2 linked regions of the Stegostoma tigrinum genome follow. The protein of the gene in region 1 binds, or shares a complex with, the protein of each later gene. Links are inferred from orthologs where the notes say so. Each region holds a gene or a part of one and is shown in the gene's direction. Other genes may lie near its edges.

Region 1 (10,592 bases):
GCCAGTATTTATTGTCCTTGAACAGAGTGGCCTGCTCAGCCACTTGAGCAGTTCAAAGTCACCCATAATGTTGGGGGTCTGGAGTCACATTTAGGCCAAGCTGGTTAAGAATGGCAGATTGCTTTTACCTAAGGAAGGTTAGTGAACCAGATGGGTTTTTATAGCAATAGATGATCGTGGGTGTGCCGGTCAGTGAAGCTGCTTTTGTATTCCGGACTTTTTTGTTTTACTTTGTTTAAATTCTACCAGCAGCAGATGTTACCCTGATCCTCTGGATTACTAATCCAGCAACATTCCCACTACACCACATCTTCACCCTCAAGACTCCTGACAATAGTCTGGGACTCCACATGATGTCTGAGGAGGCATGGACCATTCCAGCCCACTCGATCATTCAATCAGCTTGCGGCTGATCTGGTAATCCTCAAGTCCTATTTCCTGCCTTTTCCTTATAACTCTCGATTCCCTTGCTAATCAAAATTCTGTCCAAGGCAGACTTAAATTACCTAATCTCTGAGGTAAAAACTTTCATAGAATCACTACTATCCGAGAGAAGAAATCCCTGTTTTAAATGGATGGCCCCTCACTCTGGGGCAGTGTCTTCTGGTCCTAGGTTCTTCCACAAGAGGAAACAACCTCTCCTCATCCATCTGTCAAGTCCCCTAAGAATCTTGCATGTCACCTCTCATTCTCCCGATGATCACAGGCCCAATCTATTGAGCCTCTCCTTCATAAGACAGTCTGGTATCAGCCTAGTGAATCTTCTCTGGACTGCCTCCAATGCCAGTAATATCTTTCCTCCGATAAGGGGCCTGTTCATTAGTACTCCAGAGATGATCTAACTAAGGCTTTGTACAGTTTTCGCAAAACCCCCCTACTTTTTTATACTCCATTCCCTTTGAAGTAAATGCCAACATTTCATTTGCCCTGCATATTACCCGATCAACTTAGTTTTTCATGATTTGTGCACAAGGATTCACAAATGCCTCTGTGCTACAGATTTTGCAGTATATTTCCATTTAAACAACATTCAACTCCTCCATTTTCCTGCCAAAGTGCATAACCTCACATTTTCCAACATTATATACCATCTGCCAAGTATTTGGCGCCTCACTTAATCTGTCCATGTTCCTCTGTAGACTCTTTGTGTCATTTCCCACTTTCCTTGTCACTCATTTTTGTCTCATCCGCAAACCTGGCATCAGTACAATCCCTTCCATCATTAACATTATATGTAAATAATTGTGGCCCCAGCACCGATCCCTGGGGCACTCCACCAATTATGGGTTACCCCCCTAAAAATGACCTCTTTATTGCAACTCTGTCTTCTATTAGTTAGCGGATCCTCTATCCATGCCAATATACTGCCTCCAACTCCACGGTTCCTTACCTCATGAAGTTAACTTAAATGTAGTACTTTACCGAACAACTTTTGGAAATCTAAATATTTTACATCCACTGCTTTCCTTTATCCATCCTGCTTTGAGTAACAGATTCTGATGATTTTGCAGGCGTGACTTCCCCTTCATGAAGTCACGCTAACTCTGCTGTGCATTTCTAAATGCGGTGCCTTTGCATTCTTTATGATGGGTTCTAATACATTTTTTCCTCAGACCAGAAACGTTAAGCTAAATGGCCTATCGCTGACAGAAACCAAAATAACTGTGGAAGTTGTAAATCAGAAACAAAAACTGAAATTGCTGGAAAAGCTCAGCAGATCTGGCAGCATCTGTGAAGAGGAATCACAGTTAACGCTTCGGGACGAGTGACCCTTCCTCAGAACAGCCCTCTAATTGCCTGCTTATTTGTCTCCTACCTTTTTGAGTAAGGGTGTTACGTTGGCTGTTTTCCAGTCTTTCAGTATTTTTCCACAATCTAACAATTTTTCAAACATTACTCCCTGTGAAAAGGACAAACTCTGTAGACTTCTGAAGACGGGTCTAGACCCGAAACATCAGCTTTCCTGCTCCTCTGATGCTGCTTGGCTTGCTGTGTTCATCCAGCTCCACACCTTGTTATCTCACCGTCTCTGCAGTTACCTTCTTTGACATCCAGCACGTATCCCATCAGAATCAAGAGACTTATTGCCTTTGGGCCCATAAGATTCCCCAGTACATTTTTCCTCCAGTGATAGTCATTTAATCCACAATCTCCACCCACTTCCCCAGTTCCTTCATTATTTAGCATTTTTTGGAATGCTATTAGTGTCATCCACCATCCCCATGTTATAAGGAGGATCTTGAGGCACTAGAGAAAATGCAAACAAGTGCTTCTAGAACTGCTGTGGGGTGGCACGTTGGTTCAGTGGTTAGCATTGCTGCCTCACAGCGCCAGGGACCCGGGTTTGGTCCCAGCCTCGGGCAACTGTCTGTGTGGCGTTTGCACATTCTCCCCGTTTCTGCGCGAGTTTCCTTTGGGTGCTCCGTTTTCCTCCCGCAGTCACAAAGATCTGCAGGTTAGGTGGATTGGCCATGCTAAATTGCCCCATAGTGTCCAGGGATGTGCAGGCAAGGCGGATTAGTAATGGGAAATGCAGGGTTACAGTGGTAGGGCTGGGTCTGGGAGGCACGCACTCCAGAGGGTTGGTGTGGACTCGATGGGCCAAACAGCCTGATTCTAACCAACAAGCCATATGCCTCAGGGAAGGTTTCGAGGCTGGAGCTGGTCTCCTGTAGAGGAGGGGTGGCCTGTCTGTGAATAGGAATGATATGGGAAAGACATTGTCCTTTGTGGTAAGTTTAAATATAGGGCTCACAAATATGAGTCATTAATTAGACAGTGATTCATTCAGAGAACATGGGAACCATGGCCATAGGGACTGGCTGAGGTGAACAGCATTTTTGGGGTACACTGATGTATTTTGAAGCAGTTGTTACGATACACCTCTGGAACAGGCAGGATCTGAAACAAAAACAGAAATTGCTGGAAAAGCTGAGGTCTGGCCGCACCTGCAGAGGGAAATCAGAGTTAACATTTAGGTTGAGTGATCTTTCCTTGGGATCTGAACCTGGGTCCCCTAGTCCTGAGGAAGGGACACCATTACTGTGCCAAAGTAGAGCACACATCACATTTAGGAAGAGAGACAGAAGACTTAGAATCGTGGCGTCATTGAGTCATACAGCACGGAAACAGACCCTTCGGCCCAACAAATCCACGCTGACCACAATCCCAAACTAAACTAGTCCCACCTGTCTGCTCTGGCCCACTTTCCTCCAAACCTTTCCTATTCACGTTCTAATCCAAATGCCTTTTAAACATTGTAACCGTGCCCACATCCACCACTTCCTCAGGAAGTTCATTCCACACGCGAACCACCCTCTGTGTAAAAAAATTGCCCCTCAAAAGTCTTTTTTAAATCTCTCTCCTGTCACCTTAAAAATGTGGCCCCTAATCCTGAAATCCCCCATCCTAGGGAAAACACAACTACCATTGACTCTCCCTGTGTCCCTCATTGCTTTATAAACGTTCATAAGGTCGCCTCTCAACCCCCTATGCTCCAGTGAGAGGGAGATTTTATAGAATGTTAAAAGAACAGCTGCGGTTGAATGGTGTCTAAGCACTAGGTGCCGGCCTCTGCACTTTTTGGCGATGTAGCAGTGTGGTTTGGTAGTCTGTCTTTGAGCGAAATACCGATGGTGCTGAGTTATGGTCATATTACTGAGGAGAGTGCGAGATTAAAACAGGGTTAACCTGGGCTTCCAAGGGTCCGGTTGCCCTCTCTGAGTGACTCAGCGACCGATTAAAGCATGCCTTTGCTAAGTTATGTTAAAATGGGTGTTAAGAGAGACGGGATGAGTTTCTTGTCACGAAATGCACATTGATAAGCACGGATCCCCTTTTGTTCCGGGGTTGGGGTGGTGACTGTGGATAGTTAGTTTTGCAGAGAATGGTGTCTTGTGGGCCGGAGGGCAGCCTCACTGAATATGTCCAAGCCCGACAGGGAATCACCACTCAATATACTTCGGCAATCCGTCTTGTCCCCGGCTTAATGGTTAAACAAGGCGGCGTCCCCCTTCTTATCTGGAGTTCCTGGCCGACATACTGAAGCACTGACGCTTCGTCCTTCAAACATGAATCATACACTTAACACAAAATCAGAAGCTCTGCTCCCCGAGGCATTTTACTTAATTTGAAGTGCAGGAACCTTACATTGTTTTTGGACGTCCCTTCCCAAATTCAAACGTAGAATAATAATGAAATTCGACAGAGCCTCACTTAAAGAGGCGTTTGATTTTAAGGGTTTGGTTTACTTTTTTTCTTAGCAGCTCTTGCCGTCTCAACTTTTTTTTCAAAAAATTATTTCCCCCGAGTCTCTCTCAGCCTTCACATTAGGAGCAACCCCGAACTCTTCCACAGATGCTGGCCAAACCTGCTGAGTTTCTCCAGCAAGGTTTTGTTTCAGATTCTCCAGCGTGCTCAGTCCTTTTGTGACTGTTGTGGCATCGTCCTATCATTGGTAACACACTGATTTTTGTCTTTAAGGAAAAAGGTACACTTTGCACATTCAGTTCGTAGGAAATCTCACTGAAATCGATTTAACTCTTTGTTCCTCCCTGCACAGACCTAGTGAGTACCCCGGCAGTTTCCGGTTTCATTACAGATACCCCAAACATGCTGCTGTAAATTTGCACCTTTCGGGAGGATGCGAGTACTTTACAAACAATGGAACACTTTCGAGGTGGAAATTTGTAACATTTCATTTTCTACCAGGTTGCGCCTGGGTCAGTGCAGAGTTTAGAGCGGGTGAGAGACCCAGTGTAAGAGGGAGCATTGTGAGAAGACAAGTCTTGGAACGGCAAGAAAAAAGAATGCAGGAAATAGGGAAGGCTACAAGGGAAACCGACATGTTTCAAATTGGGATGACCTTTAAGGGTCAGGTCATCAATCTTATACATTGACTGTATCTCTCCACAGATGCTGCCTGACCTTCTGCGTTCTGCTTCGCAATTTTTTGTTTGCTTTTTCCTACATCGTCCCTGGTATTTCACCTTTGTTTTCGAAAAAAAACAAAAAAAATTCTCCCGCGTTGTGCGCATCGAAAGCAACTGCAAAAGCGACGTTTCTAACGCCCACGTTTTAAATAAAATAAACACTGCAAACGCTCGGAGAACGAGTTCAAAGATGCAATGTCTGGCTCACACTTCCTAGGAGCGAGTGTTTATTGCACATACGCGGCGGGAAGGTTGTCATTCGGTTATGATTGAATACCAAGTCTGTCTCATTTTATGTCTGTATACCCCCTCCCCCCAACCTCCTTTGTCTCCGAATCCCCACCTCCACCTTTTTTTACAGAAGACCAAGTTCATGTAAAATTCACACAAGGGTTTTTTTTAAAAATCAGCTTAGCAAGTCATATTTGGACAAATCTGTACCTCGTTTTTGGATTCAGTGAAGACAATGTTTGCAGATCTCGTGGAGGATTTGTGTGTGTGTGTGTGTGTGTGTGTGTCGGGGGATGGGGGGAGGGCGGATGACTTTAGAGATGTTTAGGTATTAACTCAAACATCCCTTCGTCTTGTTGAGGACTTAATTCGCCGCCTCGATCACCCATTGACATTCAGACTCTCACTTCGCCTCAGATTTGCTGCCCCTCCAGCTGGTAAAAGGAGCCTAGATTAGGTGTACCTTTCTTTCCAAAATAAACAAATTAAAAGACTTCCAATCCTTCCCAGCAGTGATTTGTCAAGTTACAGTTCAGTAAAATCACTCACAAGTAAACAGCTCGCAAGACAGAAGCTGAGCTCAGTTTAATCATGTGTTTTCCTTTGTTGCAAATGTACAGAGTATTTCAGTCTCAATTTCCCGTTTTTAAAGACGAGCGGTGACTCACTTTACAGAAAGACTACCGTGCCTTATGAGGGATGTCTGTTGTCTCATGCAGGCTGCCTCAGGGATGCAATGCCCCTTTAAGAGAGATGCCTGGTGTCTGATAAGTGTCTGAACTGGCTGTTTTTCACCCAAAGTCCTCAGTGATGTCAGAGGCAGACTTGTAAATATTATTGATGTAGCTTAAGTGAGACCCCTCCCCTTCCACAAACTTCCAAAGGTCCACCCATCCTGTCCGGGGGCTGTACAACGTTATAAAGAGGGCTGCAGAAGCAGGCACTCGCTCGCTCACTCACTGGCCAAAGGTGTGCTGAGAGGTTCTGTCTCCCTTTGGTCTGGTTTCTTCTGTCCTTGTCCCTTCCCTCCCCCCCCCACCCCCACGCCAAATTCTTTCTGGACCAGTCCCTCCACCCCCTCTCCTTTTCAACACGGTGGGGTAATTGTCAGGCATCTGGCTGTCTTCGGCGAGCTGTGAAAGGGCGAGGGGGAGCTGGTGCCTGGAAGATGCACCTCCCCATGCTCGGGGTCTTGTTCCTGGCCGTTTGTCTGAGTGCAGCCAGCGGTCAAGCAGGCAAAAAGAGAAGGCAAAGTCCGTACGATGCAAATACCCAGAATCAGAGTAAGTCTTCCAGAGGAAGAGAATCTTGTTGAAACTTTTAACATGCATTTTTCCCCTTACAGAATGTGTTCAAACTCTTTCTAGACCTGTGCTTTAGAACGTTCTGCCGGCACGTTGCTTCTGGTTCTGTCCTTTAATGACTAAATGATGTCCAGATGCTGATTCCGAGACTTAAACCAGGGGTGCATCGAGTTTTGCCGATGGAGCGAATGCAAATTTCGTGATCTCGTCGATAGTTTGGCCGTGTGGTTTATCAAAATAGCCTTCGAAAGAGCTAGTACAGGCAGTAGGGGCGGAATGTCTCCTGTGGTTCAATACTGTGTGTACATGAGGGCATATAATACATTCTGACCCCTTTCTGCCCTTTCTCTCTTTACGCCAACCACATTTTGAAGTTTCCATTGCAGATTTTAAGAACAAGGGCATGAAACGACCTTTCTCCCTCTCTCCACAGATGCCTCCTAACTACTGGGTGGTTCCACTATGCTTTCTCCTGCATCTGAGGCGTGTTGTGTTTTTTTAAAATGCTGCATCTTTCCAAAATTTGGGGTGTGAGGAAGAAAGACAAATGGTTTCTTTGTAATCTTCACCCCGCTAATCTGGGGAAGATGTGATTTTAAAAAAATACATTGTGTGAACCTTTTGATGCAAACATCCAAGGGGTCAGAATGCTGACTATTTAGTGGCTGTTCAGCAACAGAGGCCATCACATCCTGTCCCACTGCACTCACTGAAGGAGGGGAGTTCCGGGGTGGGGGAGGGGAACAGGATTAGGGAGTTTAGAAACCACTCCTATATGTTTCCTAAATTGGGGTGATTGTAGTTTATATCACTTTTTGCTTGAGGAGACTCCACAGGTTAAAACCAGCATCCATCCCGAGCTGCTTTTACATTAGAGTTTAATGTGTAAGCTGAGAATGTACCGAAGAATTCACCTACAGACCCATTCAGATGGGTGGATGGTCTGGTGGGATTTTTGTTGTGGGTTAGTTAGAAAGAGCTTTACCAGCTATTTTGAAGTTGTAGTTTAACTTAAGTAATTCCGAACGAGGTACAACCGCTTGGCTAGAAACCTGGAAGGGGTTCCTTGGAATTGTTGAATATTTAAGGCATAGAAAGAGACCATTTGATGCTTCGTGTCTAGATTGACACTTCATGAGAATGTCATTTAAATATGCCACTCTTGCCCCCTTTACCCTGTATTCTCTCACCTGCCTTCAGATAATGAGGTGGCTCAGTGGTTGGCGCTGCTGCCTCACAAAACCAGTGTGTTGGGTTCAGTTCTCACCCTTATGTGACTGTGTAGAGTTTACACATTTTCTCTGTGTCTGTGTAGGTTTCATCAGGGTGCTGTGGCTTCCTCCCACAGTCCAAAGATGTCCGAGTCAGGGGGAATGGCCTTGGGACATTGTCCAGGGCTGGACAGGCTAGGCAGATTAGCCATGGGAAATTCGGGTTTACAGAAATGGGATGGATCTGGGTGCGGTGCTCTTTTGAGGATTGGTGTGGACTTATTGGGCCAAATGGCCAGTCTCCACACAGTAGGGGATTCTGTGATAATGATCTAATGACCCACTTGAAAACCACAATTGAATCTGTCCCCAGTGCATTCTCAGGGGGAGCATTCCAGATCCTATTCACTTGCTGTGTGAAGGAAATTTCCCTTGCGCCGCCGTTGCTCCTTTTGCCATCCATCTAAAATCCGTGTCCTCTGATTCTCGATCTTTCAAACAGTCCCTGTCTGCTCGGTCCATATCCCTTGGGATTTTGAACACCTCGAACAGATCTTCCCTTAGCCTGCTCCAAGACTCCCAAGATGTTTGATCTCAGTGTCTCCATGTAACTGAAAGACTCTTTTTCTTTGAAACCATTTTTGTGAATCTTTTGCATTCTCTCTCATGCCTACGTGCTCATCAGGTCTGTCGGTATTTGTGAGGGGAAATAATATGATTTAACTCTAACACATTTTCCTTAAAATCAAACTGATTTTACAGTCTGGTTCTTTGATGGTTGCATCCTTTATAAGGAAAGAGTGCGAGTTGAAGCTGCATGTCAAGGTCCTGTTTGACGTGGGACTGAACGATGTAATCCTAATGGAAACTGGAAGATGCTTATTTATCAGAGCTGATGAGCTTATGCAAAAGCACAGCAGTCGAAGATACTGAAAATCTGAAGTAAAAGCAGATGATAGGAAAGGAATGGCTCCCATGGAGAGAGAAACAAGAGTTCGGGGTGAACTCCCCACAGCCATTGAGCCTCGTAATCTCAAGCCAGTGAAAATCATAATTCAGCTTGTGAGTGGCTGCATTTGGCAAGCAGTTGAGTTTTACTGGGATAGTAGGAACTGCCAATGCTGGAGAATCTGAGATAGCAAGGTGTAGAGCTGGATGAACGCCAGCAGGCCAAGCAGCATCAGAGGAGTAGGAAAGCTGATGTTTTGGGTCGAGATCCTTCTTCATAAAATTTTGCATGAGAGGAACAGGAAGGCTGGTGTTTTGGGTCGAGACCCTTCACGTCAGTTTTCCTGCTGCATGGCCTGCTGTGTTCATCCAGCTCTACACCTTGTTATCTGAGTTATACTGGGCCACTTTCTTGGGGTCGCTTTACTGCCTGCACTTTCTCGGCGCCTTTCTTGCTCTCAGAAGGTGAGTAAGTGCTCAGCAGGAGATCCGAGGGCCAAGAGGTGCATCTGCTGGGTTTACTTTGTGGAGACAAACAGGGCGATGCCACATCCTGTAAAATTAAGCTGCGTCATGCCAGTGAATGGGCTTGTGACTAATGTAATTGCCCCTGGGTCCTGAGTATTTCTTTGTTGGGAAAATGCAGCCTGTTATTTAAGAGTTAATGACCCTTCCCCAGAATTGATGACGAGCCTCTGAAATACCTATGATTAACTCTTGCTCTCTCTCTCTCTCTCCCCCTCCCCCTCCCCCCTCCCTTTCTCTCCCCCTCTCTCCCTCTCAAGATGACTTAGTGTTCCATGAGTTGAGGGTTCAGATTTGAGACATCTTTCCATCCACAGATGCTGAGTGATATTAGTCTTGCAATGCATCTAGTCTTTTGGGAACTATTTAATTGATGTGTGTGTGCTTTCTCTGTCTCTCCTGTTCAGATTATTGTTTAGACAATGGAAAGGTTTACCATGTTAACCAGCAATGGGAGCGTACATACATGGGCCGTGTGATGATCTGTACCTGTTATGGGGCAGGGCGAGGTTGGAATTGTGAATCGAAGCCGGATGGTAAGTTAACAGTTAAGGAGCCAGTGGCGCTGCATTCTTAATAATTAAACTTTGCATCTAGCACCATCTCCAAACTGTACACAGTCCCTATCCAGAGATCGAAAAGTAGGTGTTTTATAACGAGGCTATCAGCATGTTAACTAATGTGTATTTCGGTATCGGCGAACTAACCCAGTGTGTTACAGCATTGATATATTAACCCAGTATGTGACAGTGTCAGCATATTAACCCAGTGTGTTACAGCATCAGCATATTAACCCACTGTATTACAGCACTAGCAAAGTGACCCAGTATGTTACTATATCAGCATATTAACCCAGCGCTTTACAGCAGCCTCAATGTGTTGTTCCACGTATATCAGCACCAGTGCTGTCTAATCATATTGCAGTCAAGTGCATTGCAATAGAAGTGAAGGGTCTCAGTGTGTTTTAGCATTACTGTACTCTTATCGATGTTAGGTGATAATCCATCACATCACCAACGGTGCTCCACCTCCTAAAATACAGTAGTGACTGCACCTCATTGGCTGTCAAGCACGGCGAAACCTTCTGGAATTGTGAAAGGTGCAAGCGCTTTCATTTTTGATTTCTGCATTCTGTGCCCTCGCACACGAAGAGGCCAGGTCTTGTGTATCTCCCTTCAGCGCAGCCTGATTGCTGGATGTCAAACAGGACTTCCGTAGGTGGCACTCAGAGGCCAGGCTCACCAGTTGAGACTGGCGTTATACCCCTCAGGAGTGCAGTCAGAGGTGGGCTGGGGCTCAGCGGATAAGACAGTCATTTCAAAACTGAAAGAATCTCCCTCCTGAGCCTTGACATGTGTTTCGATTCATTTGTGCAGTCGAGGAGATGTGCTACGACCAGTACACTGGGACCAGGCAACGTGTCGGTGACACCTGGGAACGCC
Region 2 (10,931 bases), on another chromosome or scaffold:
CACAATTTTAGTTTGTGATAAATGTGCCTTAGAGGGAAGTGAAACCAATGATCACTTGACTGATTTCTACAATGAGACGGCTATTAAATGAGGAGAGATTGTATACAGTGGGCCTCTGCAATCCAGAATTTACAGAATGAGAGGTGATCACTTTAAAGCATATGAAGTTCATAGAAAGCTTGACAATATTGACACTGAGAACTTTACGGAGCAGAACTGGGGACATTAATTTCAGGACAAGTAGTTGGTCATTTCAGATTGGGATAAGAATAAACATCGCCACTCTGGAGGTTAAAAAAAATTTGAAGTTCATGACCATTGATGAGCATCAATAAGTATATCCAAGACTGAGATTAACAGACTTCAGACCACTAAGGAAATCAAGTGATATGAAGATAAGGCTGCAATGTGCAGTTGATGGACAAGCTCAGCAATGATTTTATTCAACAGCAGAGGTTTGATAGTTCACACAGTTAATTGTATGTCACTTGTATTTAATTATGTGCAAAGGGAGAGCATTCCATGAGGGTTTGTTGGATTGCATATAAGGAGATATTGATAAAATAATCAGTCATGTGGTTGCGTTAGGCGTTATGTGCTTCTAGTGTAATACTCAGTGAATAAAAAAAAAGAGTAAAAACTGGCTTCCATATCATCCTTCCACAAGGGGTTGCAGAAATACAACACCCATAAAATATTCCTGCTCATACTGCTTATGTTCTTGAATTGAGTTGAGGTACAGATTTGCCACAACATAACTGAATGGCAGAGAAGTGCTGAAGGCTTGGATGGTCTATTGTGTTCTAATGCTATCCATCAATTTCCTACATCTAATGAGAAGGTAACTAGTCTGGTGAGGTGGTCTTGTAACACAGTAGTAGTATCCCTGCTTCCGAATCAAAGGCCTTGGATTCAAGTCTCAGTCCAGGATTTGAAGATCAAGAAAAGTGCACTCACAACACAACCAAAAAGGATACATTCCGCATCCACAAACAGCAGGCAGGAAAAGCTGGAGAAATTCCTTGTCAGTCATACAATGGAAAGATACTGGAGTTGTTACCATCATTTTCTAGCAAACCAAAAATTTATGTTGCCATGTCAGCACTGGATTTAGGAACCTCCTCCCTGCCCTACGCCTGGTGAAAGTTCTAACATAATGGGTCAGACCTGCTCTTGGGCAGGGAACTCAGAAAGAAGTCTAGACTCAATTGGAAAATTATCATATTTTACTTCCTATTAGTCAAGACAGTGATTTGGCAACAAATCCAACTTGATAATGGTAATTGTACAGCACTAACTTTGTAATTTTAGTGGTCAAGGTTATACTCCACAGAATCAAAGAGTTATTTCGGAGCAGAAGGAGGCCATTCAGCCATCGTGTCTGCATCAATACTCTGTGCATTTTTTTTCTTTGTGCCATTCTCTTGCTTCTTATGTGTAGCCCGGAACATTGGATGATTATTTAAATGGAAAATGTTCTCTTGAATGCCTCAATTCAATCTGCCTCCACCACACTTCCGGTCGTGCATTCCATATGCTAACCACTCACTGTGTGAAAAGGTTTTTCCCACTTCACATTTGTTTTTCTTGCAAAACACTTTAAAACTGTATCCTCTGGTTTTTGATCCATTTAACAGTGGGAAGCAGTTTCTCCTTACCCATTCTCTCTATATCACTCACAATTTTGAAAGCTTCTATCAACTCTCCACTTAGTCTTCTCTCCAAGGAAAACAGTCCCCACTTCTCCAAGCTTTTCGCTTGGCATATCCATAGAATTATATTCATAAACCTCTTCTGCACTGTCTCCAATGCATTCATACCCTTCCTCTGCTGTGGAACACAGAAATGCACATAATACTCCAGCTGACCTCTCACCAGAGTCTCTTGTCAGTTCATCATAACCCTACTGACCAACTAGACCCCCTGCCCTTGGTTCTCTATGCCCCTATTCACAAAACCCACAACAGTATATGCTTAATCTGTACCTACCCTGCCACCTTCAATAACTGATGTACATATAAACCCAGATAATAAAATGTGAGGCTGGATGAACACAGCAGGCCAAGCAGCATCTCAGGAGCACAAAAGCTCATATACAAGAGCACATATAAACCCAGATCTTTATGCTCCTGTATAACATTTAGAACAGTACCCTTTTTTCTGCATTTTTTTTACCAGAGTGTATTACTTCACACTTCTCCACATTGAGCTTATCCTGATATCAATCCACCCACTCCTCCAATATTAGTGTTGTTTTGGAATTCTACAATGTCCTCCTCACAGTTTACGATTCTACCAAATTTTGTGTCGTCTGCAAATGTTGAAATTACCCCTGTACACAAGATCTAAATCCTTTGTATATCAGAAAAAGAGAAACTCCCAGCACTGACCCCTGGGGAACTCCACTACAAAACTTCTTCCAGCCTGAAAAGTACCCACAATTAGTCTTTCTCCCCTATCTCCCAGACAATGTTGCGTCCATTTTGCTACTGTTCCTTTTATTCCATAACCTATAAATGTAGTCACAAGGCTTTCGTGCGGCATGGTATCCAATGCCCTTTAAAAGTCCACGTGCACCACATTAATACTGCGCCTATTACCTCTTCAAAAATCTTCAGCTAGTTCGAATCAATTTTCCTTGAACGAGCGCATGATGACTCTTCCCAAATAACTCAGTTTTGTTCCACGTGTCTATTAATTTGATGCCGAATAATTGCTACTAGAAGTCTTTCTCCCCACCACCGAAGTTAACCTGACTGGTCTAAATCACTCCAAGATATTCTGTAATCAAGTTGCGCAGAAATGATATGGCATAGGTCTGGAGCACGTCTCAAGCTGGGCTTGCTTCGCTCAGAGCTGGGGGATTCTGCAGAATCGACTCCAAATGGCAAGGTGGTAGTTTGTAACAATTGTGCTGAGACATAAGAAGCAGTTTGGTGGCTCAGCTAAGATATGCATAAAGTATTTCAGCTGTCTTTTAAAGTCGAGAAATATAGCAAGTTGAAGTTTTACAGCAGCGTTTGGTGCAAATTTGCGTTTGAGTCATGCACGGTGAAGCGAGGGTCAGGGAAGGGGAAATGTAATGATGAGTGTGACCCATCTGCAAGAGACCTGCCCTCTTTCGCACCGCACCTACTTCTTCAAGAGCACCACGTAGACACTGCGAACGGCGACAGGGGTTGCTAGCACCGTTCGATGGGAAATGGTGTTTGCACCAAATAATTTAAAAAGCATCATTGATTTTAATTCTCCCAAAACAGCCCGGACTCAAGAACGATATAGTGAATTTAATCGGAATCCTTAACTATTTTCTTTGCCTACTATTACAGTGAATACCATAACGCCATAGAGCCTGACATTCCTGCCTTTCTTCTTTGGGATCCAAAAAAACATGTTAACTAATTCATCCCATCTGCAACTGGAATAGTGTTGATGTAAGCGAGTTTAACGCATCCCAGATGTGGAGCTGTCTACTCGGTATCAGAAAGAGAAATCACTGAGCAGTTCGGGAGAATCTTTTCAATGTTCATATTTGGGTTGTTTTGGGTCAGGAATATAACTTCAACAGGAAAAAAATATATACGTTTCTCATCTTTTTGTTCAGATTTGATCGACTGAGGCGAACTAGTGATTCCATCTGGTTTGTATAAGTGCACCGAGCCCTCCCCAACTGTATTGAATTAAACATTCACCTCCGACTTATATAAACTAAAAATTGACCCTCCACCCACACCACCTGTAGAACCTTCTCCCTCAGTGGTCTCAATATAGAAAATACTGCTCCTCCGAACAATTCTTCCATCGTTACGTAAGGGAAGCTGGTAGAGAAGTCTCCTGAGGTCGAGCTCAGGGGCTTCAGGCTAATCACTGTGCGGGGAACTGTCAGTTCAGGCAAAGACAGAGAAAGGGGACCACTTCTAAACCCAGGATACAGCGATCCGTTGCGTTTTATGCCACTCGCCAAACGCAATTGAAGCACAAGCCCAGGTGGATGCAAGTCTCAAACGTGTTAATGTGCGCAATAAATCAAAGTGGAAGGTGAACACAGCAGTTGTGATGCTTTTAGTGTGACAACACAATTATTCGCAGGTATTATTACATTCAAAGTAGCACACCTTCTAAATACTGGGAAATCTCCTATCGCCCCACCCAACACTGTCTTGGAGTGCACCGTTCGTGGTAGGAAACGTGCAGCCCACAAGGAATTTTGCTCAACTGCTTCTTGATGATCTTTTCAGCAGCGCTACATGGTTACCACATACACCGCGGGCTTTGCAAAAGCGTTTTCAGACGTGTCACCAATTCACCCAACTATCACAGAGTGAGCTAAACGAATATATTAATACATCGCCCGTGACTTGAAACCCCTGCTTTGGTTCTGTCAAATCCTCCACGTTATGAGAAAAGGATTTCGTAACTGGGGGAAAATTTAGTGTGTTCGCTCTGGGAGTTCCCTTTAGCTGTTGGTTTGTTCTGGAACGAATTGTCACTTTATGTCGTTATTTTTTAAACCTCTAAAAATAAGAAAGTTGAACTGTTATCATTTTATGTGACTTACTGAAACATTGCTGCTTTTCATAAAAATTACAGTACACTACAGGTTTCGATCAAGCGTCACATCCCAAATTATTAAATCCTGGGAGCAGGATGATTCGGGGGCACGTTCATTTCGATGTCGTTTCCTTTGGGAAAGAAGCAACCACATACCCGTCTCTCTGCCACATCTCAACTTTCCAACTCTCCTCCCCAGCCCCCACACCAGGTTATCCTTACGAAAATAAGAGTGCTGAGGCATGAAAAAAAAATCGACATCCTCACAGGTGTTGTTTATAAAGTAACAATCAAATAGTTGCAAACAAAACAAAAACACAGAGCAGCCTAATTCGTTGTCATGCAATGCTAGCAAGGTGCAAATGTTTTAGCTGAAACCAATCGAGTTCCGCTCGGGGAATCATGCCACTGTTAAACCCCTCAGGTTTATGACCTTTCGGTTTTTATATTTCAATTCTAATGCTGCTGATTGAAAATTGCTATTTCAACAGCAAGTCCATGATTACAGAGTAATCTCTTTGTTAGATTCACACTAGGCGACGGGTGATTCCATAAGGGGAAATAAAATGCAGAAAAGTGATCACAACATTGACAATTTGACTTATTTCTGCGTTTAAATGTGTCTCATCTAAAATCCGGGAAACATTTGATTTGGATCTTTTCAAGTCTAGTTTCTTGGAGGTTTCCTCACCAATTACTCCCCAACTTTCGTGTTTTTCTGAAAAAAAACTGATGAGTTGGCGTATCAATAAAAGTGATTACGTGTATGTTGGTTAGGAAGAGCTAAGCCGTTCCTTCAGTTGAAAGTTTTCCAGCCCTTCTTTGACCCAGTCATGCTTCAACGTGTCTCTCTGCTCTGTAACAGCCTCTGAAACGAAGCCAATAAAAAAAAAAGTGCCTTTGAAAAATGATGTGCCCGTGTCTGAAGAAGAATAGGTTTTAGGAAAAGAATTATGGTTCATCAAATTAAATGGGTCTTGCGTCGGGGTTAGGGCGGGGGGGGGGGGGTGATGTATAGAGAAGGAGGCAGGGCATGGAGTGCAAGTATGAGTCCAACAGCCACATGGCGGTTCACACCAGCCATCCAGAATTCCCTCTTCCCACCCCGATTGGAGGAAGGCATCTACGTACATGTTAGTGGATGGTCAGAGACAATTGGATCCTGCCGCAGGCGGGGACTTTGCCGGTTTCCAACTGGAGGAGGAGATTTGTTTGGTGGCGGGGGGGGGTCACTGGTGGAGATGGGCGGCAACTATTCACACCTCCAAAGCCTGGCACACATAAAAGGGCAGGCGATCTGCAAACGGAACAGTAGGAAGTTTCTGCTGGGGCTCGGTGCTGAAGCTTGGAATTACACACCAGAACCATTGCATGTCCGGACGTTAAAGAAAGTTTCCCTTTTTTTACCCCAAAGAGTCTACATGTCTAATATTTAGACATGTTCAGCTTTGTGGATACGCGGACTTTGCTGTTGCTGGCAGCAACGTTAGTGGTGGGAAGATGTCAAGCGGACGATGACAGTAAGTGTTCCTTTCTCGTTTTCCTTCTGTTTCGTCCTGAAGAACTGTTTCGAAAAATCTCCCGTCTATCGCCCGCTTAAGAGGCGAACGCTACGATCGACCTAACGGGAGAGGGATGCACAACTTTGAATTCTGTTAAAACTTTGCAAAGAAAGCTCTAATGTGAAATTGACTTGCAGGATTGTCGATTGAAAAAATGTCAGGCAACATTTTCCTGATGTTAGCTTCAGACGGTAATGTTTGGAGCATTCCGAAAGCTTGTTGCGTTTTGTTCGAACTATGCAAACGATTTGAAATAGATTACCGCAACGATTTTCCTTTTATGGAATGGTTTTTCGATCTCTAAGGGATGGGTGCATTAAAAGAAACTACATTTGTGTATTACGTGGCTGTCAGACTGTCTAACTTCTCCGCCAGCCCACAAGAATTGCAGTATCCACCCCGTTTAAGAAAGGGAAACAGAACACAGACAATTGTTGGGACCATATTAGTTGGAGTGAAGGAGTCTCGACCAGACAATTGGTTGAAAGCAGCTGCCTTTGATAGTGGGTGTGTCACTTTGGAGCAGATCCTTTGTGGCGAATTTCGAATAAATTGGGTCCAAATGGAAAATAGTGTCAAACAGATGGAAAACAGAGCACAACGCGAATTAAAATACACTTAAAATATTATTAAATTGAATAAAATGCATAAAGCGGTAAAATCTGGGTTTGAGTTTTAGTGATTTTTGCCTAGTTCTGTTTAGTTTGCAGCCACAAATCGATTTTCAGACATAAGGTAGCTTTTAAAGAAAATCGAAATTGTTCCAATTCCGAAAATTAGCGTATTTAAAGTTCAAGCCAAGAAACGAAGTTGTTTGAGGGGAAAAAAATGTCCGGTGTTCGGAATAGAAGCAATCCAGATGTTTAGACATTGTTTTCAAAGCCAAGCAAGTTCTGAGTAGCAGTCCAGTGCTGTGGCTTAACAGCGCCATCTCTAGGCAACATGTTAAAATGGTAGCTATTGTAAACTGGCTTTTTTTCCCCAAGACAACCAGGATCTTCTAATTTAAAACAGACAAAACTGGCGGAAAAAGCAACTCAGCAGGGCTGGCAGCGTTTGTGGAGAGAGAAAGAGTTTAACGTTTTGAGTACGATATGACTCTTCGTCAGAAATCCACTTTAACTCTGATTTACTCCACCACCACATTAACAATTCTGCACGGGACGTGTTTTAAATGAAACTGCGTACCATTGACTAAAAAATGATTTGAGTCGGATGCACTTTTGTGCGGTTTACTGCAGTGCTAAATCTGAGGTGGAGCTTGAGCGCCATCTGTTGAATTTCTCGCCTGATAATCTTGGCTTGCGAGCTTGTGTCACTAAAGCAACGCCTTTAAACTAAAGACCAAAATACTTGGTGCATTGTTAAAACTTAAATGTCGAAAATTCTTGTATTCCATACAGGTCACAATGTCAAAAGTGCATGTTCTTTTTAAATTGAGGAGTAGTGTTATCAGTTCTATCTTAGGCTGTTTGGGATACAAAATAAATAGCTCAACATGAATCTGCATACAGTTTCTCGTCCCTTTGAAGTTTGTCACTTTTTCCCCCAAAGGCGTTCTTGCCTTTCTGCCCATTAGAGGGCGTTTGGTATCACCGCGGTTGATATATCCCGTTTGATTCTCAGATAGCGGACCTAGCTGCTACAAGGATGGAGAAACGTTCGAAAACAAGGATATCTGGAAACCCGAACCCTGCCTGATTTGCGTCTGCGACAATGGCCGGGTCCTTTGTGACGAAATAATCTGCGAGGAAACCATCGACTGCCCCAATGCCGAAGTGCGCGACGGAGAATGCTGCCCCGTCTGCCCCGAAAAAGATCGTGAGTGTTTGCTGTGGTCCCTAGTCAATTGTTCGAAGGCGCCTTTAAGTGCTCTCCGCCAGCCACCTGACAACTTATATCATCGCCTTACATTCCCAAACTCAATTATCAACAGCAATGTAGTTTAGGAAAAGGTAGCAATAGTTGCTGCGCGGCAGCAACTGGAAGTGGAATGAAGTATCCACTCGAATGGACAATTCTAAACATTGCTTTTTAAACCTAGTGACAAAATACACATTACGTTTGAAAGCTTTAGGTGAATTCACTTCAAAACCAGTAATGATTACATTATACTAGTCCGTCAGCATTTATGATTTGCAGGAAATGTTTTGCCATTTCATGGTGAAAGTGACAGTGAACGTTAAGGGGTTATTTAACACAAAAGTACCACAGCCACAATAAACAAACCGCTTTTAATTTTAATTTAATTGAGTGTCTTTGATTTTTTTAAAAACCCAGGTTATTGTCTTTTTCTGAATCATTTGATCTGATAGAGGTTTTCTTTAAACCAATTTAAGCATTATGGGTTTTAGCTATGACATCATTGAATGATTCAATGAACATGTCACAGGCCCAAGTAGAGCAAAACCGGAAGGAGTCTTAGAAGTAATTTCCTTTTGCACTCTCCTCCCTAAAAAACATATGTGCAGTAAATAAACTATAAGCTGTTTATGAGCAATAATTACAATGCTTTCCGTTGTTTTTGAAAATGTGTTTATAAATTAAGCTCTTTTTATTTTGTTACAGCAGAAGGTGGAGAAACAGTAAGTACATCATATTCACTTAGACAATACAACAATGAAATATTTACATGGTTACTTGTAACACATATCCACACACTGACTTATTAATTTTTCTTTCCAGTATCCCTCTGGCCCTGGTATTCAGGTAAATAGAAATGCTTTTTATTTCCAGGTTAACAAAAGATATTTTAAACACACAGAAGTTGAACATTTATTAACTTTACCTTTATTTGCAATTTTAATTGTAATACAAATACAATTTTTTCAGGGACCTCAAGGCCCCAAGGGAGAACCTGGCCCTAAGGGTGATAGAGTAAGTTGATATTTTTAAATCATCTTATTGAAACAAATGTGATAATATTGTTTCCAAACTATTAAGTCCTTGATTGTAACATAGCCTTTTTTGAAAGAAGTTAAAAAAAGTCCCAAAGGCTATCTGAAAGAAAAAAGAGCAGATGTTCATAGACACCATATGTAAAGTCTAATAAGGTTTAAAACATAGAGGGCTTGAAGTTTAATGTATTACAATCATCTACCATTAATTGCTAGTATTATCCTTTTGGGGTTGCATTAAAATGAACACTCATCCTTTGCCAACGATGGAGAGGCTTCAGGGACAGGAAATGATGGTAAACAGGAAGTGACAACTGAAGAGATGACAATAGCTAAGAGTGTTGCTGAGGCTACAATTGCAACTAAAGTGAAATGATATACATAATATTTTCTTTTGTAACAATGAACATAATATTTTGCATCTTTAGGGACTTCCAGGTTTACCCGGAAGAGATGGAATCCCAGGACCTCCAGGTCGTGATGGCCCCCCTGGTCCACCTGGTCAACCTGGAACATCTGGCCTTGGCGGAGTAAGTGACCTTCAACACTTAGCTGATGAAATACATAGTGCAATGGTTCTAAATTATTTTCAATATATTTCACAGGCTGCAGACATCTAAAATCACGTTGCTTTCTTCCAGAACTTCCTCCCTCAGATGGCTGTTGGCTTCAGTGAGAAAACATCTGGCGGTATTCCAATGCCTGGACCTATGGTATGAGCCCATCTTTCCCTTTTCCTCATAATATATATAAGGTGCAACAATGGCCCTGCATAGGTTATAAAATTTTATATCAGTTTGACATTTCTGAATTAAGTAAGTTATGTGTAATCACCTGAGAATGAAGAGACGTAGAATTAACTTTGAACTAGCGTACTGAAAGTGTTTAACATTGAATGATTTTGAGTATTAAAACTATTAATTTAAGATCAAGGAAGAGTAGAGTCAATTGCTTGAGGACAGAGATTAGTAGATGCATGTGTTTTTAACTTTTGTTTTGACACATTGTTATAATTTTATTCCAATTTAAGGTTAAAAAAACAAGTTACAAAGATCCATAAAACTGTGTACCGTTTTATTAACATGTTGTTTATGTTCTAGGGTCCAATGGGTCCCAGAGGACCTCCCGGCCCACCTGGTGCACCTGTAAGTACACAATTGCTTTTATTTTCCAAAAATGTCAGTTGATTTTTGACTATTGAAGTAAAGGTTAAAAGTTAATGGAGTTAATACTTACCTAAAATGTTAATCAATTTTCAATTAAAAAGGAGAGCAGAACTTAAACTGGAAAGCAATATAGATTCTGAGTACGCTGAAAGACCATAATTATTAAAGTGTGGTTTACGTTGTTTAATCATTAGGGTCCTCAAGGATTCCAGGGACACCAAGGAGAACCTGGTGAACCAGGTGCACCTGTAAGTACTCAGTAAACTAAAAGCCACTCTCTTCTTTAAGAGCACCATATTGATTCACGTTAAATTTGTTTTAGAAACATATAATTTCTACTTTATAAAATAATTCCCCTCAAGATGGGATTCTTTTTACCACTTGATGCTTTGTGAAGATAGTTTACAAATGTACAGATGCTGGGAATGAAAGCCTTATGACACCAGCTGACAGTTTCACTAACAGATTGCAAGCCTAGCCATTTAGAGCAGTGAACTGCAAGACACCAGTTCCTTGTGTTTACCATGTCTTAATATTTTCACTTTACAATTTCAACTCTTCAGGGTCCAATGGGTCCACGTGGTCCTCCTGGCGTTCCTGGAAAGAATGGTGATGATGTAAGTAGCACCAAACGGTCTATAAATGTACTTAGTAAAAAAAAATAAAACAGTTAGGTACTTGCTTTCTGCTTTTGGACATAGTTACATGATACATTCAGCTTTAATTTCACAAATCTACTTTTGACTATAGAATCC

The links. Proteins that work in one complex are often made in the same cells at the same time.
Region 2: the proteins of fibronectin-like (region 1) and collagen alpha-1(I) chain-like are in contact, whole or in part, in a crystal structure (PDB 3GXE), measured with the Homo sapiens proteins. The link is inferred for Stegostoma tigrinum from reciprocal best matches to the Homo sapiens genes FN1 and COL1A1. Residues at the interface, in NP_997647.2 of Homo sapiens: Asp516, Gln517, Lys533, His535, Glu537, His539, Leu541, Gly549, Arg550, Gly551, Arg552, Trp553, Lys554, Cys555, Pro557, Gln560, Phe569; in NP_000079.2 of Homo sapiens: Leu261, Pro262, Gly263, Met264, Lys265, Gly266, His267, Arg268.

Annotation. Positions count from the first base shown.
Region 1 is NC_081360.1:11,863,011-11,873,602, reverse strand, and holds the start of fibronectin-like, read left to right. Parts: upstream 1-6,105; 5' UTR 6,106-6,330; coding exon 6,331-6,445; intron 6,446-9,557; coding exon 9,558-9,686; intron 9,687-10,526; coding exon 10,527-10,592. UniProt on the Homo sapiens protein: Fibronectins bind cell surfaces and various compounds including collagen, fibrin, heparin, DNA, and actin. Fibronectins are involved in cell adhesion, cell motility, opsonization, wound healing, and maintenance of cell shape.
Region 2 is NC_081384.1:21,096,649-21,107,579, forward strand, and holds the start of collagen alpha-1(I) chain-like, read left to right. Parts: upstream 1-5,849; 5' UTR 5,850-5,989; coding exon 5,990-6,071; intron 6,072-7,739; coding exon 7,740-7,934; intron 7,935-8,681; coding exon 8,682-8,698; intron 8,699-8,798; coding exon 8,799-8,822; intron 8,823-8,945; coding exon 8,946-8,990; intron 8,991-9,438; coding exon 9,439-9,540; intron 9,541-9,651; coding exon 9,652-9,723; intron 9,724-10,110; coding exon 10,111-10,155; intron 10,156-10,370; coding exon 10,371-10,424; intron 10,425-10,739; coding exon 10,740-10,793; intron 10,794-10,931. UniProt on the Homo sapiens protein: Type I collagen is a member of group I collagen (fibrillar forming collagen).